Linked DNA regions of Lytechinus pictus. The protein of the gene in region 3 purifies or fractionates together with the protein of the main gene of each other region. This does not show direct contact. Links are inferred from orthologs where the notes say so. Each region holds a gene or a part of one and is shown on either strand. Other genes may lie near its edges.

What was found.
Region 1: the proteins of SWI/SNF-related matrix-associated actin-dependent regulator of chromatin subfamily A member 5-like (region 3) and inorganic pyrophosphatase-like fractionate together in Drosophila melanogaster (co-fractionation; 4 studies listed by BioGRID, with this or other methods). This does not show direct contact. The link is inferred for Lytechinus pictus from reciprocal best matches to the Drosophila melanogaster genes Iswi and Nurf-38.
Region 2: the proteins of SWI/SNF-related matrix-associated actin-dependent regulator of chromatin subfamily A member 5-like (region 3) and nucleosome-remodeling factor subunit BPTF-like purify together in Drosophila melanogaster (affinity purification with western blotting; 7 studies listed by BioGRID, with this or other methods). This does not show direct contact. The link is inferred for Lytechinus pictus from reciprocal best matches to the Drosophila melanogaster genes Iswi and E(bx).

Annotation. Positions count from the first base shown.
Region 1 is NC_087262.1:17,331,531-17,338,507, reverse strand, and holds the start of inorganic pyrophosphatase-like, read right to left. Parts: upstream 3,055-6,977; 5' UTR 2,846-3,054; coding exon 2,647-2,845; intron 284-2,646; coding exon 222-283; intron 1-221. UniProt on the Drosophila melanogaster protein: Component of NURF (nucleosome remodeling factor), a complex which catalyzes ATP-dependent nucleosome sliding and facilitates transcription of chromatin.
Region 2 is NC_087254.1:2,980,392-2,988,208, reverse strand, and holds the start of nucleosome-remodeling factor subunit BPTF-like, read right to left. Parts: upstream 3,057-7,817; 5' UTR 3,031-3,056; intron 2,667-3,030; 5' UTR 2,446-2,666; coding exon 1,019-2,445; intron 573-1,018; coding exon 367-572; intron 1-366. UniProt on the Drosophila melanogaster protein: Histone-binding component of NURF (nucleosome remodeling factor), a complex which catalyzes ATP-dependent nucleosome sliding and facilitates transcription of chromatin.
Region 3 is NC_087249.1:49,687,606-49,695,258, reverse strand, and holds the start of SWI/SNF-related matrix-associated actin-dependent regulator of chromatin subfamily A member 5-like, read right to left. Parts: upstream 3,080-7,653; 5' UTR 3,027-3,079; coding exon 2,949-3,026; intron 1-2,948.

The DNA.
Region 1 (6,977 bases), on a different chromosome or scaffold from region 3:
TATTAAATATGAAGAATTCCAAGAGTGCAATTATTGTAAATATCACAGAATCAATATTTTTTACAAGAAAATGTGGGAAAATAGATGGGCTATGGCATGATGTAAGAAAGAGAACCATAAAAGATATGTAAATTTATGATGATGTAAACACAGAGCAAAAAAAAAGGTCATCATACAAATTTTTAAAAATGAGAGAAAAAATGAATTAATAATTATCTTACATCTTTATCAGCATATAGTGGAATGTCATGAAATGGTGAAATCACTTGACCATCGCTGTTCCCTAGAAATACAGAAAAAAAAGAAGGAAAACCAAAAATCTAAATAGGTATCTAAGCTGAAGTGTAGAGGATAGAAATAAGAGTCCACATTTATGATTGATACTTGTAAGAAGTCTGCCTTGATAAGTTGATTTTAATAAAAACAGAAAAATTTGAGAAAAATTTCAATTGGCGAAAGTTTTATGAAAATCAATCTAATATTATATTACAAAGTTTTGATCTTATGATGCCACAGAAAGACAATCAGCTCTTCCATATCTTGTGTCATATAAAATGCAATTTTCTCAAAATTCTGAAATTGATTTCATTTGTGCGATCCTTTCAACTCCTTTGACAAGATAAATAAATTTGTTTATCATATTCCATAAAAAAAGGAAATTCATGGAATTTATATCACACTTGGCGGGGAATATCATGTTTAGGACATTTTTTTTTTCATTTCTCCCTAACGTAACATAAACAGCAAGCATGTGGCCTCCAATCGGGCCCAGTTCACCAACTATTTTCTACAACTTGTCGCCTTCCTACAGTACAGTCAGTCTACAGTTTTATTTTTACACCAGCCTTTATTCCTATGGCTATGATACTACCCCCCCCCCCCCCTTTTCTTGATCTCCGGGACACTGCGGTGCATGGCCATACACAGTATGGCAGTGATTCCAAACTTTGTGTGTCCATACTTCGCAAACGGTCACTATCTAAAAAACTAGCCAATATCCTTAAAATCTGACATCAACGTGAAAAGCGACCTGAAATTACCCTTTGGCATAAGTTTTTTTTTACGATGAGTTCAGTATTCACGAAAATATTGACAAAAGATCAGCAAATTTGTCACCTTTAGTGCCCGTTCCGAAGAAATTTGATATTCTCAACAAGCATCACGATATCATCATTTTGTTTGCAAGCAGATATCATAAAAAAATGTGAGTTCAATATGGTACTAATTCTATAGCATTTTGTCATCAATCTGATATAAATATCTCACCTTTTGAGCTTGAGTTTTTATTTAAATCTCCACAAAAACTTTGGTCCACGAAGTTAGGTCACACTTTTTCAGAACGGTTTTCCACCAAAGCGCGCATTCCTCGATCGGAATAGAATTTTGAGATCGCAATACTGGCAAACGTTTACGATCTTGCCGTGATAGGCCCTAACAATTTCTTTGGTTTTTTTATAAATTGTGAATATTTTGTGGACAAATTTAAGCCTAATGAATACTTTTGAAAAGTCTGAGAAGTTTGGAACCACATCATACACACTGGGGGGGGGGGGGGGCAGTTCCCCCTCCCCAGAAATTTTGAAACTTTACATTTTTGATTTTTTACTAAATTTTTTGCAAAATTCACGAACACTACATACAGCATGCACGATAAGTTCGGTGGGACTAGCCAGAAGGCTCCTAGAGAGTAGAAAATTTTTACTCTCTAAAGTCAGTCACTAACGTGTGCTTACTCACCACGGAGCCAGGGATTGCCTCCCATTCATTCATGTGCATGTACCGCGAAAAAAATTGAAATTTGAAAATTTCGCCCTGAGATTTCTCCTTTCCTTCTAATTCTAAAACAAAAAAAGATCTAGCCCTAAATCATGTAAATGGGATACAACTTCATTTCCGACATTTATATGACATTGATTTCATTTTTAAACAAGAATTCATTAAAAAAAACAAGAAAAATATTATGAAAAGACGGAGAAAACCTGCCGTGATGTTTACGTCGCCATCTTATTTCTTTTTGTTCTTTGCCAAGATACAAGACGCATATCCGATATGCGTCATGTATCTTGACAAAGAACAAAAAGAAACAAGATGGCGACGTACATGTAAACATCGCGATCGCGGCAGGTTTTTTCCGTCTTTTCATAATATTTTTCTCATTTTTTTAATGAATTCTTGTTTGAAAATGAAATCAATGTCATATAAATGTCGGAAATGAAGTTGTATCCCATTTACATGATTTAGGGCTAACGTTAGATCTTTTAGAACGAAAATATAAATCTTGGACTTGGCCTTGGGGGCAAAAATTTCAGTTTTTTTCGCGGTACACGCACATGAATGGGACGCAATCCCACTCCCAAGCTCCATCCATGGAGAGTAAGCACACGTTAAGTCGTTAGTGAATGATTTTCACTCTCTAGTCTAGGAGCCTCAGTCCTGGCTAAGTGGGACTCTGCACTGCCACAGGTGAGTTGTGTTTCAGACTCCAGCTCCGACATGTCAATGACAAATCGCCTCCGGCCTCCTGAGCTGAGCGAGTGGGCGGTCAACTCAAGATACTGACGCCGCCCGGATGGGCAACGCCTGGCCGCGATTCCGACGACCTGCTCACTGCTGCAGAGAAGAGCCGTAGCCGTAGGAGGTACTTACTGAAGAACAGACGGTAGTCGAGCGAATTGGGTGCACCTCTGGGTTCAACTGAATAAGCCATCGCTAAAATTCGACAGTCACTGAACTGAAGTTTTGACAAATCTATTCGAGGTCGAGAATGGCGAGTAAAAGAGATCTTGGAATAAGTTCTCTGGGAAAAAGCAGCCGAGAGGACACGACGGAGGATCGGAGTCAACATGTGGACAGATTTACACGCATGCGCCGATATTAATTAATGGTATCTTTGCAGATAAAAACGATGATTGACAATCTTGATTGTGATATTATTCTGTCCAAAGTACAACTGTGCAGTTCTTCCACATGTATCCGTTGGCTGCATGTACAGATTTGCAATCCAAGTTCAAAGTCCAAAGTCTAAAGTTCATAAGAACTGCTACCGGTGTTTTTTTTCCTTCAATCGATATATCTGCATGCCGCTCGCTCATAACAAAAAAGGGGACACGCCCCCCTATTGCGATTATGCATGTGCATGGTATTTTTCAGTGATATTGATGCACGTGGTATCATGCCACCAAATGACCGATATCATAATTCCCGCAAAAAATACAAAGAGAAATAAAATATTTTCCCTTCAAATCAGGATTTCATTTTTGCTAGGAGCCGATGCAAGTTTTGAGCAGGGGCATCCGATCGATCGAGCGCAGAGTTACCCATGCGCCTTAGTAAATGGACTTTCAAAATGAACCCTATAGTAAAGTTCTTTTTTATGTAAAATTGTGATTGACTATACATGTATGATTTATGCACTCTACATGCAGTGCTTTTCCCCTTCTGTGATTTCATATGGTCCAATACTTAAATTGAATTTGTAGAAAGTTCGTATATACTTTTCCATTGCATGAGGCCCTATCTATAACAATTAAAATGCATTTCCTTTTTATGATATTGTGAATATACGATACGTGATTATGTTTCCTTTTGTATTATTATGTTTCCTTTTGTATTATTATGTTTGTATGAATGTAATGCATGCCTATTTAAACTCATCGCAATTCGGCTATGCCTCAATGATGTTTAATCAATAAACCAGTTATCTATCTATCTATCTATCTATCTATCTATCTATCTATCTATCTATCTATCTATCTATCTATCTATCTATCTATCTATCTATTCTGTCTGTCTGTGTGTTTATCATGATATGGCACCCTTATCAATTATGATAAAATAAGTTGCAGTGATGAATATCTATAATGCATTAAATCAATTGCCAGTCCATTTTTTTCTTCGAGGTCACACTTCGAATGAATTGAGATCTTATGTTATAAAATACAAAACAACACGTGGAAATATCAGATTGCTCATTGAATATTCGTGAAGACATGCATAATATTCATTGTTTTACAGAAATTATCAGAATATCTAAAATGTCATAAATTTTTTATTCCTTGTCCATTTTTCATAAAATTTCGAGTGCTTTGTTTGTCGGATTTTTATTTGTCTGTTCAAATCACATTATTTTCAGCCTGGAGAAGGCCTACGTACCATTTAAGAAAAAAAAAATCGACAAGCAAGCATTTAGCACTGAAAAACAAACAAAAAAATAGAAGACTTCCCCAAAAAGTGAAATGTTACTGTGGCCTGTGTCAATTTAGTCCTAATGACATTTATTTTTATTTTTATAGTAGGCCTTTTCTAGGGGGGGGGGGGTAGAAGACAGTAGCGTACGTAGGATTTTTGAAAGGGAGCAGGGGCGCGTGCCCCGGGCGAAACACATTCAAGGCCCAATGAAAATAGGGAGAGGGGACAAAGTATAAAAAAAGAAAGAAGAAAAATGGAAAGGAGAGGAGAGGGAACAACAAGAAAAAAGGAAAGGAAAGTGGAAAGTAGCAGTGGCGTAGCTAGGATTTTTTTCCTGGGGGGGGGGGGCACTGGGGGGTCCTTGCTTTTTCAGGGGGGCACAATTTTTTCCGTTGTGTGTGTATGTGTCACAAGGGCGGATCCGACTTTCGCCAATAGGGGACGGGGCCCGAAATTATCTTCACCTATTTTTCCCCCGATCAGTCACTTCTTATTTTTATTCTTATAAAACAACAAAAACATGAAATAATCTCATAAGCCTTATAAAAAGTGCGAGCGCGAAGCGCGAGCGATTTTTTTGTTACTTTCATGTATTTTTTCCTGAAAATTTAATATTCTGGGCAATGTTATGTGTGATCCTGAACAAGATTCGTATGTAACTAGATGGTTACTGCGAACGCCAAGCGCGAGCAGAAATTTTTATTAACTGTTCTAGCATTATCGAAAAGGGACCTGTTAAGGACTGCTTACAGTTACCCACGAAGACGGTATATATTTCAATAATGCGAGCGCGAAGCGCGAGCAAATTTTTTTGACATTCCGACCTAAAAAATTGTCATTCTAAGCACTTTTTGTATTAATAAATGGGATAGGTATGTTACTAAACAATTGATGCGAGCGCGAAGCGCGAGAGGAAGAAAATTGAAATTTTAGACCTAAAAGCGGGACACTCTATTCATATTTTGTAAATCATAAAAAGGATATAGTTAATTGGGTATCATTAATAATGCGACCGTAAAGAGTGAGCAGACAATTATTGATATTTTGATGTGAAACTGGATAATTTAAGTACATTTAATATACACAACATGCAGGCTATCGCGCATGTTTTAGATTAAGACCTAGAATCTGGGCAGTATGAATACATTAGTTTAATGGAACATTATGGAATACACGTAGACAATAGGAACTTGGCAAATCAAACAACTTGACCACGCAGCGTGAGCTTAAAAATGCTGATATGTAGACTATATAAAAGTGACATTTTACAGCTAGAGCACTTGAATTTGTTAATGAAAAAAAAAAGATGAAAGCTCGATGTACGAGCTAAAATATATTTCGTATATTGACTTAAAAAATTGCTCCATATCAGCCTATTGAGCAAGATATGAATCTCATCGAAAGGGCAATTCTGGCGCGAAGCGCAAGCAAAAGTTTTGTAAAGTAACATGAAAGATTTGTTTTTTTTTGCAAGTCTTCCCTTCACATTATTTCATTCACTCGTCTTCCTCCTCTTATTTTCCTCTTCTTTTTTTTCTTGTCTTTCTTCTTCTTTTCCTTTTTTCTTTTCTTTTTTTTGGCTCTGCCAATTTTTTTTCAGGGGGGGGGGGCACCTGGGGGGGGGGGCACACCAAATCTCAGGGGGCACGTGCCCCACGGGCCCCCCGTAGCTACGCCACTGGAAAGGAGAGGAGAGGGAAAAACAAGAAAAAAGGAAAGGAAAATGGAAAGGAGAGGAAGACAAGTAGATGAAATAAGTGGAGGGGAAGACTTGGGGGAAAAAAACAATTCCACGTACGCATTGAGTGTTAAATTAAATAGATAGAAGCTTAGAATATCCGGTTTCGAAAAATTATACAAACATAAGTTAGGCCGCATATCAAGTTTTCATTATTACAAATTGATTCTAAAGAAGTGCTCAGAAAAGCTGAACATTTTGGATTTTCCAACCTGAAAATTTGCCATTACAAACACTTGTTGTTGCAATCATACAATTTGATCTATTTTATTACGTTCTGGACCCCTAGGCAGAACAGAGTGGTAATAATTACCAATGTGAGTGGGCAATCTAGCCATTCATATGTATTCATTTTATTTTGTAATTATATCTGATGTATTTTGTTCGTACTTTGCATGTTTTTATGAATGTAGAATAAATACAATACAACAATAATTAATTATGCATGCGCTGCACGCATGCACTATATAGGGTAGGCCTACTGTATATGGTCGGCCGAGTGTGCCTAGAGTGACGTACCCCGGTGCCCATTGCTATCGTAATAAGATGTGGAAATACTATACAGGTAGAATCTACTCGTCCATGGGTACCGGCTACTCGTACTCTGGACCGGGACTAACATAGACATTTCCGGGGGCTTTTCCCGGGGATTCGTATAAGTATAGGCATATTTGGTTTTTTTTTCAGAAACGGACCCATGTCTAAGGATTATTCAACTGCAAAATAGGACCAATGGCTTTCTTGCAATATAGCAAGACCCATGTCTAAGGATTTTTTCTTGTTGTTGCAAAAAACGACCAACTATAGAGCTGCGGCAAATCCCCTTATGCGATATACACGCGAGTACCCCCCCCCCCCCACCCCGATGCAGGTTTTGAGAAGGTATTGCCAGCTAGGACGCAAACGTTAGAGTTGCAAAGGATTCGTAAAAGCTTGAGAAAGAAAAAAAAATCATAAACAGTTTTCATTGTTGCAAAATTTCTTTGGAAATCCTTTTTCCGCGAGCAGTTGCTGCCCTATTTGCAAATATAGTCGTAGGCCTATATAAGTT
Region 2 (7,817 bases), on a different chromosome or scaffold from region 3:
ATAATGCATTAAATGAGGAATCTGCTATTTCAGCCACCAATCACTACAGATATTGTAAGCCAGCAGCAACAGCAAATACAACAAATGAATAAGCTCTGAGTGGCTGTGAAGGCAGTAGGCTGCTCCTACTTCTCTACAACCATGCTTTGTTGAGCTTCTCAAGATTTTTACCCTTCACAGAAAATAACAGCTTCACAGTCTAATAGATTAAACAATAACCTCCTCTTTAATTTGGTGCTACTTATGAATTTTGTTCATAATTCCTTTTTTTTCACTTTCTTTAGTTAACATAGGCCTACTTTGATTTTAAACAGAAACTAGTTGAAATAAAACTGACAAGCTTTACAAAAGACAGCACCAACCAACCTGTTGACTTCTGAAGCACTGACTTCTGGTTACCCCTTGCGCTGTTGGTCAGCTCCTCTGTCCTCTGCATCTGTTCAAGGATCTCTGCCATACAATCCTGCAGTGCAAGACACAAGTCCTCCTCCCACTTTGTTGCATCCAAAGAATGCATCAATTCTTCAAATTGAAGCTTGGTGGAGTAGTAATATAGCTCGTTCTCACCTTCACTGCATATTTTAAAAGATAAATAGTATCAATGATTATGATATACTGCATGCAAACTTTAGAGAAATAAACCTCCAGTGGCAAGGGTACAGTGTATAATGTTTATCTCATGTCCAATGCATGTTTGACAAATTAAATTCAATAAGCCTTATGTTTATAGCCCATCTCAAATTTACAGGGAGGGGAGATGATAAGTGGTTGGTGGGAAATTTACTTCTGAAATACACATATTACACTTCAAAGGTTTAAGGCAAAATCTATTTCTTATTTCTTCATTATTTCAAAGTTAAATCAGTATAAAAAGGAAATGCATTTGCTCTTAGTTATGTGCCTTCTTGTTTTTAAGACTGAAATATTGTTTACAGATTCTCAAAAGGTCACACCCTTTATAGCCATCAATGTCTAAAGTTAATGGGAAGAAAGACAGATAGTAGGAAGAAATACTCACACAACAATTCTCCTAACAAAGTGCCAGTACTTTCTGCCATGCCTGTCATAACCCAAGGGTTCCTGTCGAATGAGGAGTCCACTCTTCTCCACCTCTGAGATACAGTCATAGACACCAAGAACGCGATGCTGCCTGCACACCGAGCACATCCAGTCTTCCTCTGGTACTTCCACCAAATTCACACATTCCAAGTGATAAACGGCTGAACATGTCTCGCAACATATTAAATCTCCCAATTTATGACACGACCTGCAATGGTCGTCATAGGTTATTGCACCTTCACTCAGAATCTCTTCACGCACTCTGTTCGATGCCAGGAACTGGTCGCAAAGGAGATGCAACACTGTTAATTTGTCACTCACAGGAGCAAAAGGGTAGTTTTCTCCTTCTAGAGCACTTAATGCACCACGGAATTCTTTGTCACTTTCAACATACGCTCTTGCAACTTCAGACCACGTCATATTATCTAGAAACAAGAACTGGACATTGATACTGTCTCGCTGGTCTTGAGGACCAAACGTTGTACTGCTACTTTCATCTTCCTTCACAAGATTGTACAACAGAGCAATGTGGGTTTCCGCTAGGAGCAAACATTGCTCTTCACTACACAAAGCTGCACAAAAATCCTCAAAACGGAATGGAGAGAGTCTTAACTGTTGACTGAAATGCCTAAGAACTTCATACACAGATAGAGCATTCATCATATCCTCATTGTCGATAAGGAGGTCTGTGCTAGATTTTGGAAGTTCAATTGGAGGAATTTCCTCTGGCTCTGCCTCCAGGAATGGCAATGCGAAAGGCCGATTTGTCCGTGAAAGTAATAACCTCTTCTTGGCAGCCGTGCTGCTGTCGTCACTGTCGTCTTCTTCTAGTTCTTCTAATTCATCATCATCTGGTAATTCAGACTGCGAACTATTTGAACTAATCTCATCTTCTGACGAAGATTGCAACAATTCCTCATTGAAATCAACTCCCTCTTCATCTGAACTTTCATATTTTGGCCTTGCCTTTTTTCCTTTCCCTTTCCCTTTTGGTTTTGATTTTGCACCCGGTTTACTCTGTGTTGTGGGAGTCTTACCTCTCCCTCTCCCTTTTCCTGGCCCCTTTCCAGTACTTGTTGTGCTACTGCTTGATGGACTTGCCTTAGCCTGGGGACTTCTTTGAGCCTCTATGACCTCTTGAATTAGCCGCTTGCTCCGCCTCGCAGCTTCACGTAATCTCGGGGATCTCCCTCGGCCAACTGCGCCGGTACTGCTGGCTTGACTTACCGGTGTGCTACAGCGAGAACTTGCAGGACTGGAGCCGTTGCTCTGGCCATCATTGCCCCGTCCAACTCCGGCTCCTCCACCAGATTTCTTTGCATTTCCCGGCGTCTCGTCCAATGAATCAACAAGTGACTTAGGCGGACGTCCACGTCCCCTCGGCATCTTGAAATACAAATTATCGGCTGCTAGCGGGTGCCTGGTAACCTAACGCACACCTAACTTAGGTTTGAGATCCACAAGCTTCGCGGTGAAACACGATTTCGGCATTATATTTACGAATCGCACGCAAGTTCTGCACTGTCCGCCATTTTCTGATGTAGATGACCACGTGACCAATTATGCATTCAATTACCGCTATCGCGATCGATCGCTCGGCGAGCCCCCTTCATGCCCAAGTACATGTTTACAAATACCCAAACATCATGACAAATAATACCTCTAAATTCATAAATGATTGACTGCATCTGATCTACATGATCTAGTGACAAACGTCTGAAATTATAACAAATAATGAATTTTTCATTCCAACGTTATTCCTTTCCGATTATGCTTTCCTATTGGTGCGCGTTTAGTCTGCATATGTGCCAATTTCCCAATTGCATTTTCCAAGCAAATCTGATGCGTTATCCTCTTAACTATGAACCCCGGGTCACAATTATCTAATTTGAACAAGATGTGGCAAAACTTAAGATATAAATTGACGGTGACTACAAATAACCTATTTGCTACCATTTATATTTATGAGACCTTGCGGGGAAACACCTTTCACAACTGATTGCTATAAACCAATCAGCGGTTTTGTTTCATGAACTCGGCCACATAACTTTGCTTGCGGGAGAAATTCAGTGAACTATTTTTTACCGCGTTAGGCGGATGAAGTTAGCAATGATATTGGTAAATCGGTGAAAGGACTACCAATTTGATGAGTGTGAGTCAACCATAGAGATATACTAATAACATCTCTATGGAGTCAACGTGATTACGTACATACAGATCAGTGATCTAATAATGCGAGTTCAAGACAGCATCAGCAATTTAAGAAGTGGTTAGAATTTAGATTGGTTTGCAAAAATTCACTCGAGGAAAGTGACGGTGTGATCTGCATCCAGAGCAGTGACTTGTTCACAGATCGAACTTCAGCGCGTTGTTGTTTTTGTATTTTCCAGTATTTTGCATTGATCTTAATTATGGGATTCTAGCATGGGGAAATGCCTCTCAAACGAGACTCGACAAAGTATTTCTACTTCAGAAAAAAGGAGTACTGAGAAATAATACTTTGCATTCATATATAATACCAGACAGTCAAATGACTATCACTTACCTAAAACAACAGTATTTTTGAGCAAGAGTATATTTTTCACAGGACCAAAAATCAGGAATTCTTTGGACAGAGCATTTATAAAAGAGGCATCTTCTCTGAACCGATTTAAATTACTCATCAATTTATTTTTCTGAATTCATACTGATTTAATCAAATATCCACGGAAGTGTTGATTATTTTAAAGTTACTATAATTTTGTATATAGTGAATATACATTCGTGTTACAGTGTCTAAATCTATATCAATTTACAGAATTTTGCTGATTATTTCACTTTATTCATATCATACATTACCCTCATTGTATATAATTTTGATAGGAGGTCTGCATCTAAAGCTTTGCTTAAAGTAGGCCCCTCCACTTTTTAAATTTTTTTCAGTACGTTTCAAAACTGCACATGCAGATGATTTATATTTCTACTGTAAATGAATATGTACTTTGAGAATTCGTGGAATATGAATATATCAATAAATAAATAAATAAATGAATAAATAAATAGGCCCCATGCATAGAGGTGGATATGTTTGTATTGCATTTAGTTACAAAACTAAAACAACGCGGACGAGACGGACCGTGGAATGGTTTCGATAAAAATTTTATCTAAAATTGATGTGAAGAGTTTGTGAATTAATACTATCATCGATTTCACTTCACGTAATCTGGCTTTTAATTACACCGCTACATGTTGGTATTCTTAGGTTTTATAATATTAATAAGTGTCATGTACAACAAGTGTAATTACTTCATATCCTCCATCAAATAAGATGATCTATATTCCGTTGAAGACTGGTGTTTGGTGACCCTTTTGTGATGAACCTTCTAGATCGTTGTTATTGTATGCTGTACGTGTTTCTTTTTGACATATCACGCAAAATCCGCTCCATTGTTTACTCAGGTACAACGTTGAAAATCATACTCCTAACAAGTTACATAAAGTACAGATTAAACCAACGTTTGACATGTTGGAACACTATTGAATTATTCCTTTCACTCTAGGGTCTTGAAATGCCAGTATGCAACAGAAGCCCCTCCATCCAGTCGTTAGACTGTTAGAAGGACTGGTTCATTTTTTGAAGTGTGGTCGCACAATACATGATTGTTATCCTTTTCGCAGTTTATACAATCGTTACATGTTTCTTTATCATTATGGGTATTTGTCTAAGAATGTATGCTTTTTCTTTAATACACGACATTTGGTCATTCTTTCTCCTCCTTGCTGTTGTTTCTACAATATTCCTTCAAATTATATCTGCCGTTTTAATCTGTGTGTGATCTTGGGGGTTTGTGGGGGAGCATGCACCACCCTTGTTAGGTTTTGAATTGTACACAAAGCGATTTACTGCAAAGAACTTCTTATGCAGAATTTTCTTTTTTCATGCTAATGTATCAAATTAATTCCTCCTATTGTCTTACTTTTGGGAGATTCTTACACAAATGGTATATATGAACATTATTTACATATTGGACTTATTGATACATATCCAACACAATACAGTATCAGATGTTTATCATTCTTTCGTTTTATTTATTTTGATTGCTGTCCCAATCTTTTTATATCGAAGTATCTTATCGTAATGTCTATTATTAGTTCATTTGCTATGCTTTGCGATTTAAAGGGCTTGCATGTTCCTCCAATAACCTTTCAATTGTCTCATTATTGCTGGTGCTTGTTGGTTCTTCTTCCACCTCATGGAAATGTATATACATGGAAAATATAGACGCATTTTACGTCTTCCCTCGAAGGGTTAATGTCTGTAATATTGCCTAAAATACTTTGCTTATTTTGTTCCTGTTATATAGTCAGCTCTGAATATTCTCCCTCTTTTTATAATTTGAAGGTTCCTAGGATTTAAGTGCTACTGTATATTTGTTTTGTTTTTGTTTTTGTGTTTGTCGTTATTTGTCTGTATTCGTATCTGTCATTCTCGTAATATCATGTCTTGTGTTATTTCGTTTAGCTGATCTGCATACTCCTCCCTATCTCTGGAGATCCCCTAGACATCCTTTGTGATGGCTGTAAACACAAATTTCCCATTTTCTGATATAGATAATGATGAATTACACGATACTTTCCAGGCTGCCTTTAATTCGAAGTTTGATGAACATGATGAATGTAAAAATTCTGTTTTTCATGACTCCGTAGCTCAAACTCTCAATGCACAAGCTAATCTTGATTCTCTTTCTGATCCTAATGATAATACGTATCAACATACCCCCTCGCTCTATTTTACTGATAAACAGATAGCGTCGAAACAACTTGACAACAGTAACTTTCTAATGCTACATTGCAACATTCGCAGTGCCAACAAAAATTTTGAATCACTTCGTTCCCTTTTATTGAATTCTAAGCTCTTTTGTTCTGTGATAGGTTTGTCAGAAACGTGGTTTTCCCACTCTACTCAACTATCCTTTTATACGCTGCCAGGTTATAATTTGGTCACAAATAATAGAATAGGGAAATCAGGTGGAGGCGTTGCTCTTTTTGTATCCCAACAATTCGATTACAGGTTAAGGCCTGATCTTACTCTAATGAATGATGCTATTGAAACACTTTTTGTTGAAATTCTTATGCCCAACGACAAAAATATTCTGGTTGGAACGATTTACAGGCCGCCTAACTCCTCCCACGATGACTTTTTAAATACATTCCATGGGTTATTGGCACTCCATGAGATGGTCAATGAAACGTGTTTTTTACTCGGCGATTTCAATATTGACTTACTAAAATACGATACTGATACTTTTGTTCAAACTTTTTCGGATGTAATAATGACAGCAGGTTTCCTTCCTTTGATAACCAAGCCAACTCGAATCACAGGTACATCGGCTACTCTCATCGACAATATATTTACAAATACCAGAAGTACTCTCTCTACGGGAATAATTCTTTCTGATTTGACGGACCATTTTCCCATATTTTCGCATTTTAAACTAGATACCAACGCCACTGAACACAAAGTTGATCATAATACTCGACGTGATTTTTCTGAAAATAATATGAATCTGTTCAATGAAGAGTTAGGAAATGTTGACTGGTCAGGAATTTACAGTATTCAAAATGCCGAGGATGCATTTGACGCTTTTATGAATAAATTGAATCCATTAATGAATAGCTCTTTTCCCGTAGTGCGATTCAAACGCTCTAATTACAAAAAGGTTCCAAGGTCCCCATGGATTACACCTAGCATTTTGCGCTCAATAAACAGAAAGAATAACCTTTACTTAAAAACTATTTCAAAGCCTTGCGACAGTAATAGAAAAAAGTACACTGACTACAAAAATATTCTGACAGGTATACTGAGAAAATGTAAAAAGAATTATTTTCATAATCAATTTGACCTCTATAGAAACGACGTTAAAAATACATGGAAAGTTATAAAAAACGTTATACAAGGTAACTTCAGAATGTCTACGCCCACGAAAATAAATGTTGATGGTGAATTGGTAGAGGATCCCTTTGCCTTGGCAAATGTTTTTAATGACTATTTTGCATCCGTAGGCCAAAATCTTGCCAGCACAATCCCTGCCTCTTCTAAACACTTCACATCTTTTCTTAATGTCCCTAATCCAAATTCGATATATTTCACACCAACAGACGTAAAAGAACTAGCTGATATAATTTCTGGACTAAAGAATAAAATGAGTTCAGGATGTGACGATATAAGTAACATTCTCCTGAAAAGAAACCTGATACACATTATTAAACCTTTGACTTATATCTTTAATTTGTCTCTTTCTACAGGAGTTGTACCTTCTTCATTAAAGCAAGCCCGAGTAATCCCCATTTTTAAAAAAGGCGACAACACCGTGTTGGGAAATTATCGCCCCATATCATTATTGACATGCCTTTCGAAGGTTTTGGAAAAAGTAATTTTTGTACGCACGACAAAGTTTCTTAATATACATAAATTGTTTTATCCCCTGCAGTTTGGTTTTCGCGAAAAACATAGTACTACTCATGCCCTGTTGTCAACGATTAATAAGATTGCCAATGGAATTGACAAGTATGAGCATACTGTTGGGGTGTTCCTGGACTTCTCCAAGGCTTTCGACACAATCAACCATGATATCCTTTTATACAAGCTTAATTATTATGGAATCAGAGGGATAGCCTTGGAGTGGTTCAGGAACTACCTCAGCAGTAGGCAGCAATATGTTTCCATAGCAAATGTAGATTCCCCTCCCAAATCTATCTCATGTGGAGTCCCCCAAGGC
Region 3 (7,653 bases):
TGCATGCAAGGCACAGTGTGCAAGACGATTGATTTGAGACTTGAAGTTAATTTCACATGTTTTAACTAGATTATCTGAATTACAGTGCACAATTACGACATGGAAGACCATTGGGATGGATTTCAAATATAATATGTAAGTGAGTTGATAACATTTGGTTTTGCATCTTTCTTTTTTCAAGTTGTTTTGAGATCGAGAATTTTTTCTTTCATTTTAATCATCATTTCTTGTTTCTTGTCTGTCCACCGCAATTTTTTGTAGTCCTATGTTAAATGTTCCCCTTCAGTACACTGATGCCTGAAAGTATGAATCCGAAAAATGCACCCCCCCCCCCGCGTTCATCCTTTCTCTCGATCCCTAACAATAACATTAAAAAGGATAATAACATAAGCTGATACTAGATAGAGTTTTGACAAGTTATTAAAGTCGTTTTTTTTTTTTTTTTGGAGAGGCGGGGTGGGGGGGGGGTGATGTAATTCCCATTCCCCCCCCCCTCATTTTTTGTTTTTATTCGTGACTTGATATCCTTGCCTTTACGTGATTTCCTATGCATGCTCAATCCTTGAAACTTTACATAATTTTAAAATATTTTTACAGATCCATAGTACACCATACAGAACTTTTTTTAAAGGAGCTAGTCTCAAGTTTGTCTCTCTGTTTTGTTTCCTTTTCTGTGAGTTCCTTTCTTCTCATTTTGTTCCTCTCCTGTACTAACTTTACAACCATTTGCTTTTGTTTTTGCTCCTCTAGCCTCACTTTTTTCCCAATTTCATTGCATTCATTATTTTGTTTTCTCTTTCATCTACAGGAAATTTTTGTAGCCAGGAGGCTGTATCATTTGATGAAAACATCAGTTTGGATTCGACCTTACCACAGAAATGTTAGGGGCCCTATGAAGCATTGCATCCGCTCTGCCAAACTGCCTCTCACCAGAGATATTTGTAGAACTACACGATGCACTTTCTGCAGCAAGATCCAGCTAAAGTTGTGATGAACTAGCATATAATAGATTTCTTATATTCATAACATTCATCATTCCAGTTCTTAATTGATATTTCAAAAGTTTAATAAATCACTTTACATGCATTTAATATATTTCTTATATTCATATCATTCATCATTCCAGTTCTTAATTGATATTTCAAAAGTTTAATAAATCACTTTACATGCACCATATTGAGCTGTACACTGAATCTTGCCTCATAAGATCATTTGGCTTCAGCTCTACATAATACCCCCCCCCCCCCAGCAATAAAAAATGAAAATCTAATAAAACAATAGAGCTGCAGGCAGTAGCGTACCTAGGATTTTCCACAGGGGGGGGGGGGGGGCAAAATCGTCCGCCCAAAAATTTGACAAGCAAAAAAGTCTTCAACCACAAATAAAGGATTTCGTACTTTCGGTCTTAAACTTCAAAGGAGGGGGCCACCGGTGGCTCATCAGGGGGGGAGGGCAGGGATACGTCCCTTGCATGGGTTGTGACTCGTCGGGGGGGCAGTCTGCCCCCCCCCCCCATAGGTACGCTAGTGGCTGCAGGTCCACCCACCCACCTGTATCAACCATTACCTCCAATGAGAATACCTAATTTTAAATTTTATTGAGCAACTTCATTAATACTGTTAAAATATCCAATTTATATTTTTATGTGGAGTTAATTAATGTAACCAATGCCAACAAGGAAAAAAAATAAAATGAATACTTTCATGTGTCAGTGTGGATTTGTCATTTCTTTTTAAAATTTATTTTAATATTCAGATCTGTATGTGTATCCTTTTTCAACACTATGTTCCTTCTCTTCTCTACTGCATGTGCCAAATTGTTTGTTTTTTTGCTCATACTTCTTAAATAAATCATGAAAAAATTACATAAAGTCTAAATAAAAATATTTAAACAGACATACAAGAAAAAAAGTGTTAGTTTGGGGCGATAGAAAATGTTAGAAGACAGTTGGGGGGGGGGTGAGATAAATCAATTGTTTCTTTCTTGTCAATTTAAAAGCTGCAATTCATATTTGTGAATAATTAAGTAGTTGGTAGAACAATTCCTGCTTAAAGTTGCAGTCTGAATGGAATGCAGGATCGCCAAGAACAAAGCCCAGAGGCAGAGGTGGGGTTGGTTTTTTTAAGGCGGCATTTCCATCACGCTTTCTTGGAACCACAGATATTCGACGGCTCATGCAGCCCAAGTCTGTTCATTGTTGGGCCCCTCGACTTCAGATCAGTAAGTATTGCCATGCTCAAATGGAGGTAAGAAATTAATCTGAATGAAAATAAAAAAATGAAAACAAAAGAAAATTAAAATGATAATGAATTAAATTAGATCTAGGCCATTCATTTTTAAAATAATAAAAAATTTAAGTTTTATTAGGCCAAAAGAAATCATGTTACATGAATTTTCAACAGAATATAATCATCAAATAATAAATCAAGACTAAAGTAAAGGCTAAAATTAGGTTCGAGAAGATTCAGAAAGTTGTTGCGTCATTTGCCATTTTTTTTCAATATTTTATTCAATCAAAATGAATGTGTCAGTGTGGGATGTATTTCTGATTTCTACATTTGTGTCTGGTTTTCAATTCCTAATTTATAAAAAAGAAAAAGTTTTTTTAAATCAAAGAAATACCAGACATATCACGGTAGACGGTCTGCTACACAAATTCCAATGCGCAGGACTACACACCGCGGGCAACCAAAAACCCTAGCAGCCGCCATAAATTAGCCCGCGAAACGCGTCGCCAAACTTCCCACGAAAATCCCACGAAACAAATAGCAAGGGCGTTTAACATTCGTCCGTGGCAAATGGTGGCAAGAAATGCTGCCATGAATGAGGTAAGAAATGAAAGCTTACGACTTCAATTTTCGAGTAGCATATGTATTTTTAGCGTAATATGTCTGATAATTCCATGAAAATAACATATAATGATGATTTGATGCATAAACTGTACTTACAGACTGTTTTAGTGCAATTTTTGTTCCGATCTCGACCCTCCGTCGCAAGAGCTTACCGTGCAGTATAGCTGAATGCATTGGGAAGATGATGTCATCGTTTTCATTCCCATTGATATACGTTTACCATCCTAGACAGGAGACTCAAGTAGGGCTTGCCGTTATTGCTCGCACCGGCTCCCGAAGCAGCTTGTCGCCATTTTCGTACGCGAAAATGATGACGCGAAAATCGCGCCCTCTCGCGCTAGAGTAGCGTACCTATCTAAGAATCAGAAAAAAATTGACGTCTCCTATCAGTACTATCATCATGACTTGAGATGACATTGTTCGCTTAGCTGTAACAGCTACAGTACTCTCCAACAACGGCAACATCAAACTCTCAATTTCATCAATGTCAACAACATCTTGTTATCAGATTCAGTCATCACAATTCTTTTGTTCAGTGTTTATCATGTCAAAACATACATTACACCCAAACCAATACATGGGACCGACCAAGACAAATGAATGAAAATGACGACGGGTAATAAAACGCCGCTAAGTTCAAGACCAAATAAAACAAACTTAAACCGACAAAATTAAACAATAATAGCATCATCATGGTTAACAATTACTTACCGGGTTCCCAAGGGGTGAAGGGGTGTCTTCTCTCTCCTCTAAATCAGCCATTTTTGCACGAAATTAAGGGTACTCGCGTGCAAATTGCAAAGGGAAACCACCAGATGACCTGCAAATGAGCGCGCGCAATTCAACGATAAACAAAAGTATCGTTTGGTAAGTATCGCGATCAGTCAGAATGTCAGTGGGAGAGAGAGATAGGGTTGCAGGAGAAAAATAATATTTACAAAGTCATCCAAAGGATTTTTTTATTGCTCGGCATGTCTTCAGTGTTGTATGAAAATTCTCACAACATAACAAATTGGCAGAGTAATTAAATGTTGTTGTGTTAATTTGCACCCTTTTCACTTTTCAGGGGATTTTTGTGGGGGGGGGGGGCACTCGACTAAAAAGTGGTAGGGGTGTGCCGCGGGCGAGACAAAAAACGGGGGCCTTGGAGCGTGCTAATTGTAAATAGGAGGGTCCTCAGAACGGGCTTCGGAACTATACGGGGGGGGGGGGGCGTTGTACATGTCTACTAAGATTTGGTTTGGAGGGTGATTTAAGGGTAATTTTGGCAAAAAAGTGTACCCAATATTAAGAATTTTCTCCCAATCGAGAAAAAGAGAAATTACTCAAGATCGAAGGAAGGGGGGTTGTTCATTGAATGATTTTAGAGCGGCACATTCCCGTATGCCGAGTATAATATCTGCTGTTCAATTGTGATAAGCAGTCATCTCCTATGAATTCCATTTAAAGCAGCGCTGACAAATCTATCACACCAAGATAACCACAAAATAAGAATTATCAATTAAATAAGCATCAATATTCACACCTGAATGTTTTCGCATTAAAACCCAAATAAACAACCTGACAACAACAACAACATGCATGCTCTGAAAATTTATAATGACATTTTCGGGGGAGCTATACTCTCATATTGACGTCACAAATATCTAAATGTTGAAATGTGAAATTGGCTATACGGTTATTGGTCTTACAGAACTGGCTTAGTTAAAAAAAAATGAATAGTTTTTTTTTCTTCAAAATTCCTTCCATGGATGCATTCAAGCATCCCTCTATGCTTGACATGGACTAATAATTATTGATTATGTGTTCTACTATTGCTCAATAATGATGCCCATGGCCATGGGATCATTATAGTCAATAATTCTATAATGCCTCTGAAGTTCCGACTTTGCAATTGTTATAATTTCACAGTGCATTATCTGATTGGTTAGCATAACATGAACGTGACAAGTTAAGTTTTTACTGGTTTATGTTGATGTAATTTTTTTTTGAATAATTGTTTTGTTTAACATAATTATTTTCGATAATACCGTCAGATCAGGGGAGCGTTTCATCAATATTTTTGTCTGACAAGTTGTCAGATCTGACATCTTTCCTTTATTCTGATTGGCTGACAAGCACTGCACCTATGGTAACTGTCGGATAAAATGGGACTTGGATAAAACGTCAGACATGTCCTTTCATGAAACACTCCCCTGGTCCATGATGTTCATTTTTTTCCTATTTAGCTCAACACATGCATGGTTTTCAATAAATGATATAAATGCTTGTATGTATATGCCTATAAAGGACAGCTAGAGGAATGGGTAAGTGTGGGCGGTGAGTTTATTTTTTATCGGAATTATTTTATTGCAATAAAAGATGTCATGTTATTATGCAATGTCTCCAGGAACTATTTTAAATTGATATATTCATACTGCAATGTGATGGGGTTATATTTTAGATATATATATATATTTTGCTCAACCCTCATGTGTGCATGTAGGAATAATATATGGCATTTTGTGACTTATAACCATATTGTATAACCTGTTTATAGAAACAACTGATGACATGGAAATTGGAATTAATGCAGTACTTAAGTCATTTTTTTATCAATATGTATTTACAAATGTATTTTTATCACTTGTGTTCCACAGCGAGGCTGTTGGTTTTCTTGGAATAAACTCTGATACCACATACCAGTCTGGATTTTGCCTTCTTTCACAAGAAATTCATAGCTCTTTTTATTCCTTGAAGGATCATCATAAAATTTTTTTTTATAGGAGTGCCGATATTTTTCTGCAATATTTTTGTCTGCTTTTACATCAAACCCAATGTAAACTGGTTGTCATCAGGGTAAACTTCTCTGTGGTGGGTTTGCAATTAGTTACATGCAATTTTTTTTATATGCAAATTCATCTTCACTCAACTTTGCAATGACGGTATAGGCCTATTTCTTCCCATATCCCTCCAAATTAGGAGGTCATCGGAGGTCACCTAGAAATCAGCATCGCCACCAATCACCAATGAAGAATTCTCACCTTTCATTCAATCAGTGAGCGGCAACTCAGCTTTGACGGCATGCCCATGCATTGGCCGATGCATGTACAAAAAAATCTGGTTTTTTTTAATGACACTAAAGAAAATTGTCACAGTTAAGACTGAGAAAAGGGATCTCATTCCGAAAAGATAACACTTTGACCACAGTCACCAAAAGAAAAAAATACTGAAAATTACCCTTTATTCTTACCCCCTAAAATAACATTAGCAACGAGAATAATACTTCCCTTGCTTATTTCCGGAATCCGTCAAAAAGAATCCTTATTTTGGCTCACCAAAGCCTGGTACGACATCGTTTACCCTCCTCTTGATCTGTGCCTGACTGCAGTCTAGCTTTTTTTTTTTCCAAAGCCTTCAACTTTTCATTTAAAAACAAAAATTTTGCCCTTATAAAAATGCGACTACCGAAAGTGGCGGTCTTAGGTGCCTATATTGTTCAGAACCAAATACTAGTAGGTCCTTGGTCAAAGCATGGACCTATTACGACCCATGGTCAAAGTATCGAAAATCGCAATCGAATGTAAAAACCGCTATCGATTGTGAACAGCGCCATCTCTTGTTATCCTACACAAAGAAAACTCGCAGTTTACTTTTTCATGTAAATTACTACAGTACACGCAGCGCACTGCATGTCCATATAGGCCAACTCATGCAGCAAAACAAAGAATTCTAAAAGTTATTTTTGATGATTAAGGGTCATTCTTTCCGGATTGATCCTTATTTATTGCCCTCATTCAAAAGCCAAAGATTTCTTTTTCATTGTCAATATCTCTTTGGTCTAGGCACATTTTAGCACTATAATTTTCTTCACGGTGAAAGTTGTTTTGTATCAATTAACTTTCCGTGTTCTGATGGCCGTCATATAAAATCCGCCAATCCGCCCTCTCCTTCTCACCCTCTCCCCTGTCGGAATTTCTTTCTTTCTTTCTCTCTCTCTCTCTCTCCCTCTCACATGTCTCTCAGCTCTCTTTCCTTCTCTCTATTTTCCCTTCTCTCACATCTCCGAACCCGGCCATCCCGGCAACCCATCACTTTGATCCCATCCTGATCCACCCCCCCCCCCCTGGAGAACAACAACAACAACAACAAAAACGGTACAGGAAAGGGGTGAAATGTGATATTAATTGTTCAATATGTCACACTCTATCACAAATTGGATGTTCATTTTAAAGAGGCTATTTTTTTCCACATTATGCCCCCATCAAGTCTGTTTTGGCTCACATTCGCGGCCACTGCAGAAACAAAATGAAGAAACCAATATTTAAAAAATATACACACTCACACACACAAAGAAAACAATAAAATCACATGTACATCAAATTCATTTATTTTTTTAATAAGAAACTTACACTTATTCTTAACCATATACGATCTTCCCGTACCTGCTTACAGAGTAACAATTATTTCATTCGATACAAATTCCCCCACACGTTCAACGCCGTTTACATCATATTGGAAGACTACACAATCATGTTGGATAAACTTTAATCGACCGTTAAAAACCCGTTTTGTTTAATGAAATTGTTTAAATGCAGCATATAGTTGCTATGTCATATTTTACATTTTTGTATGGGCTAATATTCTCATTGCATTTTGCTTTCCCCCATAATCGGTTTATTTCATAATTCATTTATTTATTCATCGATTCACTACGTCTTTTTCATGTCATCGTGACTTCGTCAGTGGTCTTATTGCGCTGCTTTAACATGATGAAGTTCCCTGAATGATTTATAATAACAAAATACGAACATTTAAAACA